Stegostoma tigrinum: one gene and its partner. The protein of the gene in region 2 interacts with the protein of the main gene of each other region in a pairwise test. Links are inferred from orthologs where the notes say so. Each region holds a gene or a part of one and is shown on either strand. Other genes may lie near its edges.

Region 1 (7,825 bases), on a different chromosome or scaffold from region 2:
TTGAAAATGGAACTTATTCTTTCTAGTCTAGGCATAGCTAGAACAAATGTTGTCAATAAGCTATTATAGTCAATGTGTATAGCGGTGTACTACAGCCAGCATTGCATTATCTAATAACTAAGATCTGATAGAAATAAGATTTCAATTGTCACTCCTGATTCTAAATTTCATTGTTGTTACTGCCACTTCTACACTGATAGGTCATCAGTATCACAGTTATAAAGACTAAGCTGACCATACTGTTCAGCAAGGGAAACTGCCTATTAACCACTGATGAATTAAGACTGGATTCTTGATTCAACATTTTCAATCTTACTCAACTTCCAAATCATACTAAAATCTTGCTGACAATTATGCTTAAAAGGACAGCAGTGTTTCCTCCAGAAACTGTAATTCAGAAATTTAAAAATACAACAGCATTGTACATGACAGGTTGGAGCATACATGGTACAGAACTGGAGGATGCTTTCATTTCAAGTAATGATGATGAGAAGTAAAATAAGTTTGTTAAAATTTAAATCAACTTCCTTGTGCAAGATGGTGACGGAGTAGGATGCTCCAGCAGGAGCTTGTCCACTCTGCCTGTTCTTCTTTTCTTACTCCAAGCTTTTCTGCTCTTTATTCCCCTCTTCAACTCTTATCCTCCAGCAATGAACCCTGGCCTCCCACCCTGGCGCAGCAACCTGTCAGCATGGTATTTTGCTGGCATAATGCGGAGCCGGTGTTCAATGTGGACTGGAAGCTAGGTGCCAGCATGGTTTGCTGTACTGAACTTTTATTTCTGTATGTGTAAATCTTGTAACTAAAGGAATCGTGCCAAGGTTCTTTTGTACCTAAGCTGGCACTGTCATAGGTAACGTATAGTCAATGAGTATGGTGAAAAGTTTATACGTGACAAAAAAAGGCTATTCTATTCTGTTCATTTAATCATGCAGGTAATGTAACTGGTGAACATTTGGCTCAGTTTGTCTTGGTGAAAGTTTCCCAACTTTTTTTTAGATCAACCTGTTCAGCGATATTATACACACTTCAGGGGAAGTGGGACTTGAACCTGGGCTCCCTGAGAGAGCTTTTCCAACATTTAAGTAGCATCATATAGATAAGGAAAAAGATATAATAGTAATTGCCTTATTTGAGTAATTTCTTTCAATTTCCCACCTAGACTATCTGGTTCCTTTGTTCTACAAAAGCTACAGACTAACTTGTACTATTTCCAGCTGTGTGATATACAACACAAAAATGGAGACACAAGGGCAGTCAGAATGTGTAATGATATTTGCATTTAGCATAAAGGGAACAGAACTTAATTCTTCCTTGTAACTGAGGCCTCAGGCTTGGAAAACACCTTTAGAAATAATTTACAAAGTTGTATGATATGCATAAGGTGAATAATGCTTGCAATGCTGAGTTTTTCTTGTTTTCCCTGTATTAGCTATTGAAAAGGCAATTTCAGTTCACATTTAAATCTCAAATATTCTTGAAAAACAAATGCTGATTTTGAAATTAAAAAGTAAATGCAGAACATATTAATATATTCTGCAAAGTGAAAACTCTGATTTCTGTTCTGAATTTGGATCTTGGTTTTTTTGAACAAATAATAACCAACTGCCACATTAAATCTAGTTTCAGATACAGATCAAAGGCCTGACATAACTGAAAAAAAAGTTCTAATTTTTTTTAAAATTAACATTAAAATCAAAGGTTCAGGGCATTCCCAAAAGCTTGGTCGCAGCATGAAAACTAAGAAGTTTGCTGAAAAGTTTGCGAAGGTGATGAAAAGTGACTGAAGTTTTTTAAAAATCCACACAAGGACAAATTTTTTATCCTTTCAGTAACTCAATCCCTGCCTTGAACTGATTCTTGTCAAAATGCCAAGAAGGATGCATGGCAGATAATGCATCAGCACAGAGAAGAAAGAAAATCTCAAGCACAGATAAAAGAAATATACTGCACAAAGATCACACAATCAAAATATGCTGATCCACACAGGGCATTTCAGTCATGTATAAAAGTACCTGTGGCATCCATCTACAACAGATTAATAAACAGGACAGATGAAACTGATTCAGGGCAAAAGCTCTTGGCAAGCTAACTTCAGAAGATATCTTCTTTATACCAAAGCAAATATTAACGATTCTTCTATAGAACGGCAAAAAGCAGTTACTTCAGATATTTTCTGAACTAGTATTTTGACAAACCAAAGTACTTAAATATCAAACACTTCCTATATGGCATAATAATTTATACTGAAACTTCCTTTTTCAATGCAAGTATTCGTACAACTTTAATTTCAGCGTTTCTCTTTTTTTGCAAAGAGGCTACGGTCAAAATTCTTATTTTAATACGGGAAAAAACGTGGCACATTTGAGACCTTCCTCAGTTCACCCAGTGATGATCCATGAAATGGAAATCGAGGAGCCGGGAAGATGGAGGAGCTAGTTTCAAAAGATTTACACAAGACTCAGATAAAAATAAATCACTTCCACAAACTCTTAATCAACTATGACAACACAGAAAAATAAAACGTAAGCATTGGTCCAAGATTCTTAAAGATTCGTGAACCCAACAGCGTCTGGGGTGTACGCTCAGAAAGGTTATTAAAACATCTTCCCCTCGGTGGAAACTGGAGTGAGGAACGTTATTCCATCACCGGACGAGGCTGCGAAGGAAAGAAAGATCAGTCGCATCCTCTCGATTAAATTCCATTTATAAAAAGAGAAATCTTTCGCAGCGGATCACACGGCGCTGCAGTTTAAGTCAACCCCGTCCCTCAGAAGAAAGACTCGCCGAGTCGAGTTTACAGCTCAGAATGGAGGCTCCCACAACAAAAACTTGAGCAAACTTTCCCGGTCGTTAATGTACGTTACTGTCGGGGTCCGAACGGACCGGCTCCACTTTCTCCCCGTTTTCCCGGTGACGCCATGTTGTGCTAAAAGTACTTCTAAGGGGAGGTGTGGGAATAAAGGCAATAACTTCCCCTCCTTTAAAAGTGCATCTGCTCCATACTGCTGCAAAGTGTACGAACAACGAAGAGGAATTAAACAATTAAGAATAACTTGTGGTACTGTCTTACCTGAACGCCAACCAAATAGCCTCCCTCTCCTTCACGCTCCATCGGCAGCACTTCCAGCAACCGCAACACAGTCAAAGCTCCGGCGTCAGGCAGACTGCGACTGCTCACCGCGCTATGGATTAACTCGCCGACCAGCCGCACTACTTTCCCAACTACTTCCAACAAGAGCGAAGCTGTTCAACTCTTAAACGCACTAGGCAGCTTTCATTCAAACAACGCATTGTTTTCTTCCTCTAGTCTTATTCATGTTTGTTTTAAGTTTATTAAGTAATCATTTATACCGGCTCCTTATTTTACTTTTTTGAGTATCGCGATTTCATTTGATCTATTTTCATTTAATTTTCTCTTCATTTCTCGAAGAATTGAATCTTCATTGTATATACAAATATTATCAGAAGACTCGTACTGAAGGTCGCTGGACCCGAAACGTTAACTCGGCTTTCTCTTGACAGCAATTTGTGCTTGTTTTTGATTTCCAGCATCCGCAGTTCTTTCGAGTTTTTTTTAATCATTACTAGAGTCCCTTCCATTCTGAACTTTAAAAGCAGATCTGTTCTAATTCACGTTAAGATCCTGTAACTTATAAGTATGAAAAGCATTATTAAAGCAAATCAGTCCCAGTTTGAACCAGTGATGTAAGCATTTCTACAGACTCCAATGAAAATGATTCCCCGAGTTATCTTGCATTAAAAAACCTCGAAACAAATTTGATTTGTAATGCAATTGTTGTTTCGTCAGTAATTTATCTACAATTTCATTTAACTTATTTGCATTTTTAAAGCTGAAGAAATATGTTGCGTCTCACCGTTGAAATCCTCATGCAGTTCTTAGGAATAAAAGCCAAAAAAAATCAGGATTGTAAATAACAAAAGAATGTTTGGTAAAGATTAAAAGAGAAGCATGGAAAAGAAAGAATTTACATATCTGTGGCATTGGTTTACAGCCTCAGAACAAACGTGCTATACAATGGATTGCTTTTGATCTGCACCTTAAGCAGCTAAATACAGTCGCACATAGTAAAATTCCATGGTGAACAATTACAATCAGATGAATACTTATTCGGGATAGAATTAATATTAACAAAAAAGGTGGATTGATTAACAAGGGTCAGCATGGATTTTGAAAGGGGAAATAATCTTCATTCTGGAGTTTTTTTGAAGAAGTAGCAGAAAGGTTCTATAGTGGTAATACCATTGATGATCGTAGTTATACAGCGAGGAAACAGACCCTTCAGTCCAACCCAAACACTAAACTGGTCCCGCCTGCCTGTTCCTGGCCCATTTCCCTCCAAACCCTTTCTATTCATGTATCTATCCTCATGTCTTTTAAGTGCTTTAATTGTACTCGCATCCACTACTTCCTCGGGACATTCATTCTGCACACGAACCACCCTCTGTGTAAAAACTTTGCCTCGTCTTTTTCCAAAACTCTCTCCTCTCACCGTAAAAATATGTCCCCAGGCTTGAAATACCCCATCCTAGGGAAAAGATAACTACCATTTACTTTAGAAATAGTAAGAACTGCCAGTGCTGGAGTCAGAGATAACACAGCGTGGAGCTGGAGGAGCACAGCAAGCCAGGCACTATCACAGGAAGAGGAAAGCTGACGTTTCCGGTCAGCACCCTTCTTCTCAAATGGAGAAAGAGGAAGGGAGCTGAAATAAACAGAGGGAGGAGGGGTGAGGCTGGGAGAGGTAGGCGGAATGGTGATTGGTGAGTGCAGGTAGGCAGTGGTGGGGATAGGTCAGTGAGGTGGGAGAGACGATTGGACAGGTTGTGTCAGGTCAAGGAGGCAGGGTTGAGAGGGAGGGAGGTGACAGATGAGTTTCAATGTTAAGAAGTATGATGTATTTTAGCAGGAAGAAGATCTAAAAGAGGGGGGATCATGTCTACATGGTGTGTAGGAGCAGAAGATCCTGGGTGTACATGCGTGCAGATTATTGAAGGTGGCAAGAAAGCAGTTAATAAAGCATGAAGTATTCTCAGCTTTATTAACAGAGGCATAAAGTAGAAGAGCCAGGAGGTGAGGTTGGACTTGTATAAGACTCTTCTTAGATCTCAGTTGGAATATTGTGTACAGTTCTGAGAGACATGCTATAACAAGAATGTGAACTCATTGGAGAGAGTGTAGAAGTGGCCTACAAAGAAATATAGAAAATAGGAGCAGGAGTAGGCCAATTGGCCCTGCGAGCCAGCTTTGCCATTCATTCTGATCATGGCTGATCGTCCAACTCAATAAACTGTTCCTGCTTTAACCCCACATCTTTTAGCCCCAAGTACTATATTTTCTTGAAATCATACAATGTTTTCCCTCGACTGCTTTCTGTGCTAGCAAATTCCATAGTCTCACCACTCTTTCTGTGAAGAAATTTATCCTCATCTCAGTCCTAAATGGTTTATCCTGTATCCTTAGAATGTGACACTGGTTCTGGACTCCCCAGCCATCAAAATCATCTTTGCTGCAACCACCTTGTCTAGTCTTGTTAGAATTTTTAAAGTTTCTGTGGATCACCCCTCATTTTTCTGAACACTAGCGAGTATAATCCTAACCTATTCAACCTTTCTTCATGCATCAGTCCCAGCATCTCAAGAACCAGTCAAGTAAAACTTGGCTGCACTCACTAGTAAAAACATCTTTCATCAGATAGGGGAACAAAAACTGCACATAATATTCCAGTGTGGTCTCGCTAAGGCCCTGTATAATTGCAGCAAGACAACCTTGGTCCTACACATGAACTCCTTTCACTATGAAGCACAGCATACCATTTGCTGTCTTTACTGGCTGCCGTGTCCACATCCTTAACTCAGCAACTATTGTACGATTGATTGATTGATTGATTGTCATTGGTACGAAAATACAATAGAAAGCTTTGTTTTCAAGTGGTACAGGCAGATCATAGTAAACAAAGGATGCACAGATCAAAAAGACTTAGACAGAGGCATGCAGGTTACATTGCACAGAGCGTGCACTAGGTGAGATCAACATTAGCAAGATCAACATTATTTGTGGCTAGACAGTCCATTCACCAGTCTGAAAATGGTGGGGAAGAGGCTGTTCCTGAACCTGCTCGTGCGTGAATTTAGGCTTCAGTATCTTCTGCCTGACTGAAGAGTTCATGGAAATCATTACTGAGGTGCAATGGGTCTTTGATGATGTTAGCAGCCTTTCCGCTGCTGCGAGCCATGTAAATAGAGTCCATGGATGGAAGGTTGGCTTTTGTGATGGTCTGGGCTGTGCACAGCACCTTCTGTAGTTTCTTACGGCCCTGGGTAGAACAGTTGCCATACCAGCCCTTCATGCACCCGGACAGTAAGCTTTCAATGTTGCATCTGTAGAAGTTGGTGAGGGAGCATATGGACATGCCAAATTTCCTGAACTGCCTGAGGCAGACAAGGCATTGTTGTGCCTTCTTGACTGTTGCATCTATGTAGCAAGTACAGGACAGGGCGTTGGCTATCGTAACTCCAAGGAACTTAATGCTCTTCACCCTCTCATCTTTAGTTTCATTGATGTATATGGGGTGTGTTCTCCATTCTTCCTGAAATCAATGATCAGTTCTTTAGTTTAGCCAACATTGAGAGACTGATTTTTTTTCATTGCATCGCGTCATCAAGCTTTCTATCTCCTTTCTGTAGTTTGTCTCATTGTTTTCGTGTTTTCGATACCCATCCCACTACGGTGATGTTGTCAGCGAACTTATAGATGGCATTCATTTGGAATTTAGCAACACAGTCATAGGTAAAAAGGGAGTACAGTAGGGGTCTGACGATGCATCCTTGGAGGGCTCCAGTGTTGAGTGTTATTGCGGAGGTGGTGCAGTTTCCTATCTTCACTGATTGTGGGCTGTGAGTCAGAAAGCTGAGGATCCAGTTGCAGAGGGCAGAGCTGATATCAATGTCATGGAGCTTTGTGATCAGTCTGGAGGGGATAGTGGCATTGAAGGTGGAGCTGTAGTCAATGAGTAGCAGTCTGAGTTGGGTGTCTTTGATGTCCAAATGTTCTGGGGATGAGTGCAGGGCTAGGGATATGGCATCATCTGTGGACCAGTTATGTCAGTAGGCAAATTGTGGTGGATCAAGGCAGGCTGGGAGACTGGAGTTAATGTGGGCCATGACCAGCCTTTCGAAGCACTTCATGATCATTGATGTCAAAGCCACCAGGCAGTAGTCATTAAAGCACATTGCATGCACTTTCTTAGGTACGGAGATGATGGCGGTCTTTTTGAAGCAAGTGGGCACTTCGGCTTGTAGGAAGGTCAAGTTGAAGATGTCAGTGAATACCTTCGCCAGTTGGTCTGAACAGGATGAGGTCACATTACACATTTTACTTTTCCAGTCTCTCAATTTGCAGTTATTCAGATAATATTATGACTTCCTGTTATTGCTATCATTGTGGATTCATCACATTTATCTAAATTATACTGCATCAGCCATGCATTTGCCCACTCAATCAACAATTTATGAGGAATGTTCTTGTACAGAAGAAGGCTAAGCTGAGATCTGGTAGTGGTTTACAAAGTCATGACAGCTGGATAAGAGTAAGTAAGCTGAAACTGTTCCTGTTTATGAAAGAACAAGAGTAACAGGGCATAAATTTTAAGTAACCTGCAAAAGAAGCAAAGGAAGATATGAATAGTTCGGGTATGGTCTAGTATGTCTGAAAATGTGGTGGAGCCAGGTACAACTGAGGCAATTCAAGGGGGCATTAGACAATTATTTAAATAAAAATAACGTACAAATGTATAGAGAAAAA
Region 2 (8,024 bases):
GAGAAGGGAGATATGTTACCAAAGTGTTTCATCTTGTACTCATCAGAACAAAAGCTAAAATGCCAAATTTAATTGAATACAACAATTTATATCACGGGATAGAATGCTGATTGTTTGCCAGTCATTGCCATGGAAATGAACTATAGACTCCCTAAATTTTATTGTAATTAAAGGAAGTTGCAAGGCTTAAAGATATTGCTTTTGTTCGGCGAAAACAAATCACTGCATATGAATATATGCCACTTTCAGCAAGCATAAATGAGCCATGTTAAATCTTGATGGATTACTTTAAATTGAGTTAGTGCAGCTATTAGCACAATCAGGAAATTTAACAAGTGCTACCCAATTGCGAAATCAGATCTTACAGCAGTAATTTTAAATTGGCTTTTGGCTATTTCAAACAATTGAATAAACGTGTTGTTTGATTCAGTCATTCTTTTGTTATGGTGTACAACTTACTTACATGGCATTACACCATCAATGAAATTATACACAAGGTTGTTCAATTATGTGTTAGTTTGATTTTTTTTGGATCAATAACAACATCCTGTAAGTTGAAAATTCCATTCATGTAACTATTGCAGAGTAACAGTGTGAAATTGTTTTATTTTGTTGAAATTTTAGATGTTTTGCCTTGCCAGGGTATTTTAGTTACATCAGACATTTTTCAGGTTTGGCCTATTTGCAAGTTAATGCAATCCATAGCAAAGAATGACCTGATCAGGACAGCCATTGTCACACAGCATAACATTGGATAAGCTCTGCATGAAGAGCTTCTAAGGTGAGCAAATAGCTAACACCCTGTTTAAAATCTTGCTAATTAGGCAAATCCTACAAGGTGTGAAGCTGTACAGATGTCAAAGATGAAGGAAGGCTTGCAATATAAAATAATGGAAAACCCATCATAGATTATTGATCCAGCAGGTAGACAGAGGTGATGGCTTAATGGTATTATTATTGGACTGTTACTCCAGAGACCCAGGTAATGTTCTGGGGACCCGTGTTCAAATCCCACCACAGCAGATGGTGAAATTCAAAGTCAATAAAAATACCTGGAATTAAGAATCTAGTGATGACCACAAATCCATTGTCAATTGTTGGGGGAAAAACCCCTCTGGTTCACTAATGTCCTTAGAGGAGGAAACAACCATCTTTACCTGGTCTGGCCTATATGTGACTCCAGACCCACAGCAATGTGGTTGACCCTGGACTTATGTTAGGGAAAGAGGGCATGTTACACTGCTGCACCTCAAAAATGAGTTTGAACGTCTAAAAATTGGTAGCTGGAATATTATGTCAGAAAATGTGAGTTTATGCACTTTGGTAGGAAGAAGAGTAGTTGAGTATTATCTAAACAGAGAAAGACTGCCAGAACCTGCAGCACACAAGAATTTGGGTGCCCTTGTGAATAAAATCACAAAGAAAAAGCATACAAATTCCCAGGTAGTAGGGAGGGCAAATGGAATTTAGGTCTTTGTTTTAAAGGGAATGAAATGTAAAAACAGAGAAATCTTATAAAAACCTATGTAAGGTAGTAGTTAGAGATAACAGATGTAGAGCTGGATGAACACAGCAGGCCAAGGAGCATCTTATTATCTCTAAGGTAGTAGTTAGACCACATTTAAAATACTGTGAACAGATTTGGTCCCCTTATCGACGGAAGCATGTACTGGTATTGGAGGCAGCCCAGAAGTTTACTTCATCAGATATGGAGGGATTTCCTCATGAGGGGTTGAATAGGTTGGGTCTGTATTGAGTTTAGAAATATGAGAAGTAACATTGTTGAAGCATATAAGATTCTTAGGGACTTGACAAGTTTCATATAGTGAGGTTATTTTCCATTGTGACATATTCTCAGAGTAAGGCATCATCCAGTTAGGACAGGAATGACAAGGGAACTTATTCTCTGAAGATAGAGAATCTGAGGAATTCTTTACCATGGAGGGCTGTTGATGCTGGGTTATTGAGTATATTTCAAGGCTGAGGTAAACATATTTTTAATCAGTAGAGGCACAAAGGTTAGAGTGGAGGATTATCAGCTACATACACATTTCCCTCCAAATGGCACACAATTATGATTTGTAAACATAATTGCTGTTCATTCACTACTTGGAAATCATCAAAGTCTCTATCAAACAACACTGTAGGTGTACCTACCACAATACAGATTGCTGTGGTTCGATAAACCAGATCAGCATCATCTGCTCAATTAAGGACAGGTATAAATGCTGATCTTGCCAGCACTGTCCAGATGATTATTAAGAAAATTATGGAATATACTGCAATAGGTTTTCTCTTAATTGTTCAACTTTATTATTTCAATAATAGTTTTAATATTAAAACAGAAATCAGAGACTATGTATTTACCTTGCAGTTCTTAGAAATAACATGAAACATCTACGAATTAAGGCAGAGTCCCATGGACATTACTATGAGTACCCATAGCTCAAAAATCACACAACACCAGATTATTGTCCAACAGGTTTATTTGAAAACAAAGTGTGGAGCTGGATGAACACAGCAGGCCAAGCAGCATCTTAGGAGCACAAAAGCTGACGTTTCGGGCCTAGACCCTTCATCAGAGATGGGAATGGGGAGAGGGTTCTGAAATAAATAGGGAGAGAGGGGGAGGCGGACCGAAGATGGATAGAGGAGAAGATAGGTGGAGAGGAGAGTCTAGACGGGGAGGTGGAGAGGGGATAGGTCAGTCCGGGGAGGACGGACAGGTCAAGGAGGCGGGATGAGGTTGGTAGGTGGGAAGTGGAGGTGCAGCTTGAGGTGGGAGGAGGGAATAGGTGAGAGGAAGAACAGGTTAGGGAGGTGGGGATGAGCTGGGCAGGTTTTGGGATGCAGTGGGGTAAGGGGGAGATTTTGAAGCTTGTGAAGTCCGAATTGATACCATTGGGCTGCAGGATTCCCAAGCCCATTATCTCTGAGGTTTATTTGAAAATACTAGTTTTCAGAGCCTCACTCCTTCAAGTGTTAGTAAGAGAGGTAACATCAGACACAGAATTTATAAGATCAAAGGGTCATAGAACTGACGCAAATGTATTGAAAAAAAAACTTAAGAAGGCTGTAAATCTTTAATCAGTTAGAAAGGAGATGCAGGTTTTGATTGATTAATATGCAAATCTAAGAATTTCTTTCAAGTCACTGCCCTGAGATAACTATAGGTTTTATCAGTATACCATGGGTGACATCTCTGGTCAGACAATGCGTTTTAGATGTGAGACCTCGTTTAGAACCTTCTGTGTTTTAACTTGGAGTCAGACTGATTTTATTTCCAAAGTAGGGATTTATAAAATGCCACATTGACTGACTGTCTACAAATTGTGATCAGAGATAATGGGGACTGCAGATGCTGGAGAATCCAAGATAACAAAGTATGAAGCTGGATGAACACAGCAGGCCAAGCAGCATCTCAGGAGCACAATGTGATGAAGGGTCGAGGCCCGAAACGTCAGCTTTTGTGCTCCTGAGATGCTGTTTGGCCTGCTGTAATCATCCAGCTTCACACTGTTGTCTACAAATTGTGTGCTTTTTGAACAACACGGGATATATCTACAATTACAAATCTGCAAATCTATAAATTCCTACTTTGGAAATAAAACCAGTCTGATTTGACCTTGTCCACCCTAGTCCAACACCGGCACCTCCAGATCATAAGTGACCATAGGAAAAATCAATACATAAGTTGAGTTTTTAATTATCATTTTATTTGAACAACATGTGTATTGAAGTAATAGCATTGAAAATGGGTAGAAGGGTGTTTACCTGTGAAAAGGTGAGAGCCCACTCGGATAAAGCCTTTTGGAACATGTCCAACAAAAGTTGGAAATCCCAGTTCCATATCAGTTACCTGTTTTCCACATCTGCAGAGACAAACTAATGTAGCAATAGGAACCGAATAGAGAAAAATAGATCTTAGAAAAGGACAAACTGGAATGACATATGTGGAAAATAACGGAATTTGTTTCGGTTATGACGATGTCGCTGGACGGCTCTGAAACTGCAGTCATCACCTGTGGCGCAATTACATGATTTGCTGCGGTTCAAGGAGGCAACTTATTCTCACCTTTTAAAGAGCAACTAGGCGTTTGCTGCCTTGGACGTTGATACTCACATCCCATGAGCGAACAAAACCATTTTTAAAATGTGCAGGCCGTCTCACTCAACCAAATGAAAGTCTGGATTCTGATTTTGGCTGCACTTGGACTGTAACCGGGGTTGCCGTTGTGATGCCCGAATATTCCTTGGACGTCCCACAATCTCAAGACAAATTACTGGGCTGGCAACGCAAACACAGGAATGTTGTTTCATTTTTGATTAAACTAATGGTGAAATGTAAAGGAACAACAGCTGAAGAGAGCTGGAGGAGTGGAGCGGGTTCGCAAAAGCTGAGCGTGTCCCAAGTCGAAGAAACTCAACAGTTCTGGCATCATCTGTGGACAGGAAGCGGAGTTAACGTTTCGTACGCAGTGAGCCGCCTTCAGAATCGGAAACAGAAGTTGCTGGAAAAGCTCAGCAGGGTCTGGCAGCATCTGTGAAGGAAAATAAAAATCAGAGTTAACGTTTCAGGTCCGGTGACCCTTCCTCAGAACAGAAACCTTCTTCAGAACCGGCCAAGGCTCAATGGACATGAAGCGCTAACTCTTGAACTGAAGGCAACAAATGCTAGAGATCACAGCGGGTCAGGCAGCGTCCATGGAGAGAGAGCAAACTAACGTTACGGCTCATCATGACTATTCATTGGAGCTGACTTACCCACACCACCACCACCCGAGCTGAAAGCCTGCTGAGGCGCTTCAGTATTTTGTTTTGTGTTTGGCATTTCCCGATCTTCAGCACCCAGAGTTCTCGGTATCATTCCCAAGTCGACTGGAATGAGCTGGCCAGGTTAACAGAGAATGGGGGACGTTTCCCTTTTAAGGCCCCTCTCTTCCTCGGCCAGTTTAAAGCACTGTGCGCCCTCCCGCCTGCCGGCTCTACTCCCGGGGGCGGGGGGTGGTGCAGCGAGCCTGTAGCGTCACTTCCGGCAGTCTCACGCCTCGCGCGGTAAGATGGCGGCGCAGTTAACGGACGCGGAATTGTTTTCCGAACTGAAAAAGTTCGGTTTGGTCCCGGGTCCCGTGACCGAGAGCACGCGCCCCGTCTACCTGAAAAAGCTCAAGAAGCTGCGCGAGGACCGCGGCGCCAGGCCTAAAACCAGGAACGGCGGCGGGACAGGCCCGAGTTCGGGCCTGGGCCTCGGCGTGTCGGCCAGCCCCACGACTAACCCTATCACCCCGGGCAAGCTGCTGGGTTTCAGCTCGGACGAGTCGGACGCCGAGCTCAACGGCAGAAGGAGCGACGCCGGCAAGAGGACGAGCAGGACGGATAAAGCTCCGGGCGACTGCCCCCGCCCGCGGCCTAGTCACAGCAAGGGGAGGAACACTCCTCCGAGAATGGTGAACAGCAACAACAGCGGCGGTGGTGCGGGGCTTTTGGCTGGCAAAGGGAACCCCACCCCTTGGTGGAGGCCGAATCCATGTGGCGGCGTCCAGCAGTCGCCGGAGGAAGAGGAACGACCTCCGGGAACCGACATGCAGAGCCACAACAACAACAGCAGCAGCAGCAATCGTGTCTCCTACGTTAGGGAGGATAACTACTCCGATTCCGAGGATGAACGAGAAGAAGAATCGAGCCGGAGGCCCAATTCCAGGCGGAGTCACTCCAAGAAATTACAGGCCACCGTTAACAGTCATAACCCGAGGGTGATCGTGGAGGAGAGCGGCGCCGGCAGGAGAGGCGGCGCCAAACGGATCCACGACGTCGCCGGCGGTCCTTACTGTCTAGACACCAGGAGAGACCAACTAGAGGAGGAGGAAGAGGATCAGAGGGAGAAAGACGCCACAGCGGAGCCCACCATGTTATTGCGGTTCCGTAATTCCTCTTCCAAAAAGATTAGTCCAGGACTGCTGGCTGCTGAAAAGGAGAGACTTTACATGAGCAGCACCAGAAACAATAATCACGTCAGCACAAGTAATTTTATTACTAGTCCGAGTGGCCCTTCGTCCTCCCTTTTGATCAATGCTAATCACTCAAACCATACGGGCAGTAACCACATCTACAGTACATATCGCAAAAGCCCCAGAGAGCCTGAGGAGGAATTATTGCAGCAATTTAAAAGGGAGGGGGGTTCGGCAACCGGTGGATTCAGTGCACACTACTTATCCATGTTTCTTTTAACTGCTGCATGTCTATTTTTTGTCATTTTGGGACTTACCTATATAAGGATGAGGGGTTCAGGAGGAACAGAAGGAGTTCTTAACGGTAAGTGTAGCAATGGAAGCATCCAAGTTTGCAGTGGGATAATGGCAAAATGCCAGACAATTTTAATCTGTTCAGAAAAGTGGTGTCTGTCTATTGAATATGTATAGCGAAGTTGGTGTATTGCATTATCATTTTATCTCCTGGTTGTGGTAAACTAGTTCTAGTCGTTGCACTGTTTTCGTCAAGGTTACAAATTACCGTTTTAAGAGTCAACCATATTTGATTCTGCATTTGTAGCCAGAAATAGTTAATTGTGAGTTAAATGTTTCACCTGGTGAAATATGACAGAATAATTCACTTGTGTATTTTGTACAAAATATTACACTTACAAACCTCCATTCTAGCAGGACAGATCTACTGCCGTACGGTTTTTCCCTTTCTTGTTTTTGAAATTGTGATATGAAGCCATTTGTAGCATCAGTGTTTTATTATTGTATTCCTGCATTCTTTAGTCCAATTTCCATCGTGCATTTCAAAAACAAGGCTTTCAACCTTTAATGTAGTTGTAAATAATATTTTCAGTTTAATATTAGTAAAATCTAGGAGAGTGAAATCTTGGTTGGATCATGCCTGTGACGTGTATATATGTGAGCTTTTTATCATTTTAGCAGCAGAAATGTAGGGTTTTTTAAAAATTTTGAACTGTCATGTAGTATTTTGGCACTTCACATCCCTTCCAATAATACCAATGCCATTGCGTTGATAGCATTATAACTTGAGCAGAGAAAGCTCATTTTATTCCTGTGGAATTTGACTGACTAAATGTATTTAAATCTCAACGTTCTTATCACTTAGGTATGTTTCAGAAAAATACCTTTTTTTTTGAAGGTGTACTAAAACATCTGGGTCAAATGTGCTTGTCTTGCTCAAACTGTTACTTCCAGTTGATCATTTAAAAACCACTAAGTTGTCATTGACAGTGTTTTATATTCACTTTATTTTGTCAACTGTGTAGTTGTGGAATCTAGTAACAAACTGTGAAATACTTTCATAAAGCCTTGGTTTTTGTCTTGTTTGAATATATTTTAAAAGCTTTTAGGGCTCCCTCCAGTTTCTCATCCATATTTGCCCCTTGGCATCATTATTGCAAGACATAGGACTCTCAATTTGTTATGGGAAGGCATCTAACAGCTGTTGTCATTTAGTCGGGTTTCCCTTTGCACCCTCCAGCTCAGAGTTACTGGAAATGCAAACTGATGAAATTTGAGATGGGGAGACAATCAGTTTGACTTGGAAAATTTTTTTGACAAGTTGCTGTGTATGGATGAGGGCATTTGACATAGTCGACTTGAACTTTTGCAAGGCTTTTGATAAGATCCTACATGGGAGACTAGTGGCAAAGATAAGAACAGTCTGTGGAATCCAGTGAATTTTGGCTAATTGGATGTGGAATTGGTTGAGTGTCAGGAAACAGAGGGTGATGGTCAAGGGTGTTTTAGTGACTGGAAGCCTGAGAGAAATCAGGTTCTACCACGATCATTTGCTGTTTGTTATGTTTAAATTATATTGATTAGTAAGTTCACCACCACCTTCTCGAGGGCAGCTAGGAATGGGCAAAAAATGCTGGCCAGCCAACGACTCCCACATCCCATAAATGAATAGAGAAAAGAAAGTTCACAGATGACATGATAATTGGGGTTAAAAACAGTAAGGATAGCCTTAGATTATATAAGGATATAGATGGAAGTCAGTGGAAAATGGAATTTAACCCG

Evidence for each region.
Region 1: the proteins of lemd3 (region 2) and smad1 interact in binary tests that used the Homo sapiens proteins (3 or more experiments, as listed by UniProt). The link is inferred for Stegostoma tigrinum from reciprocal best matches to the Homo sapiens genes LEMD3 and SMAD1.

What each region holds. Positions count from the first base shown.
Region 1 is NC_081354.1:46,819,823-46,827,647, forward strand, and holds the start of smad1 (mothers against decapentaplegic homolog 1), read right to left. Parts: upstream 3,175-7,825; 5' UTR 3,074-3,174; intron 1-3,073. UniProt on the Homo sapiens protein: Transcriptional modulator that plays a role in various cellular processes, including embryonic development, cell differentiation, and tissue homeostasis.
Region 2 is NC_081371.1:39,258,352-39,266,375, reverse strand, and holds the start of lemd3 (inner nuclear membrane protein Man1), read left to right. Parts: upstream 1-5,009; 5' UTR 5,010-5,060; coding exon 5,061-6,312; intron 6,313-8,024.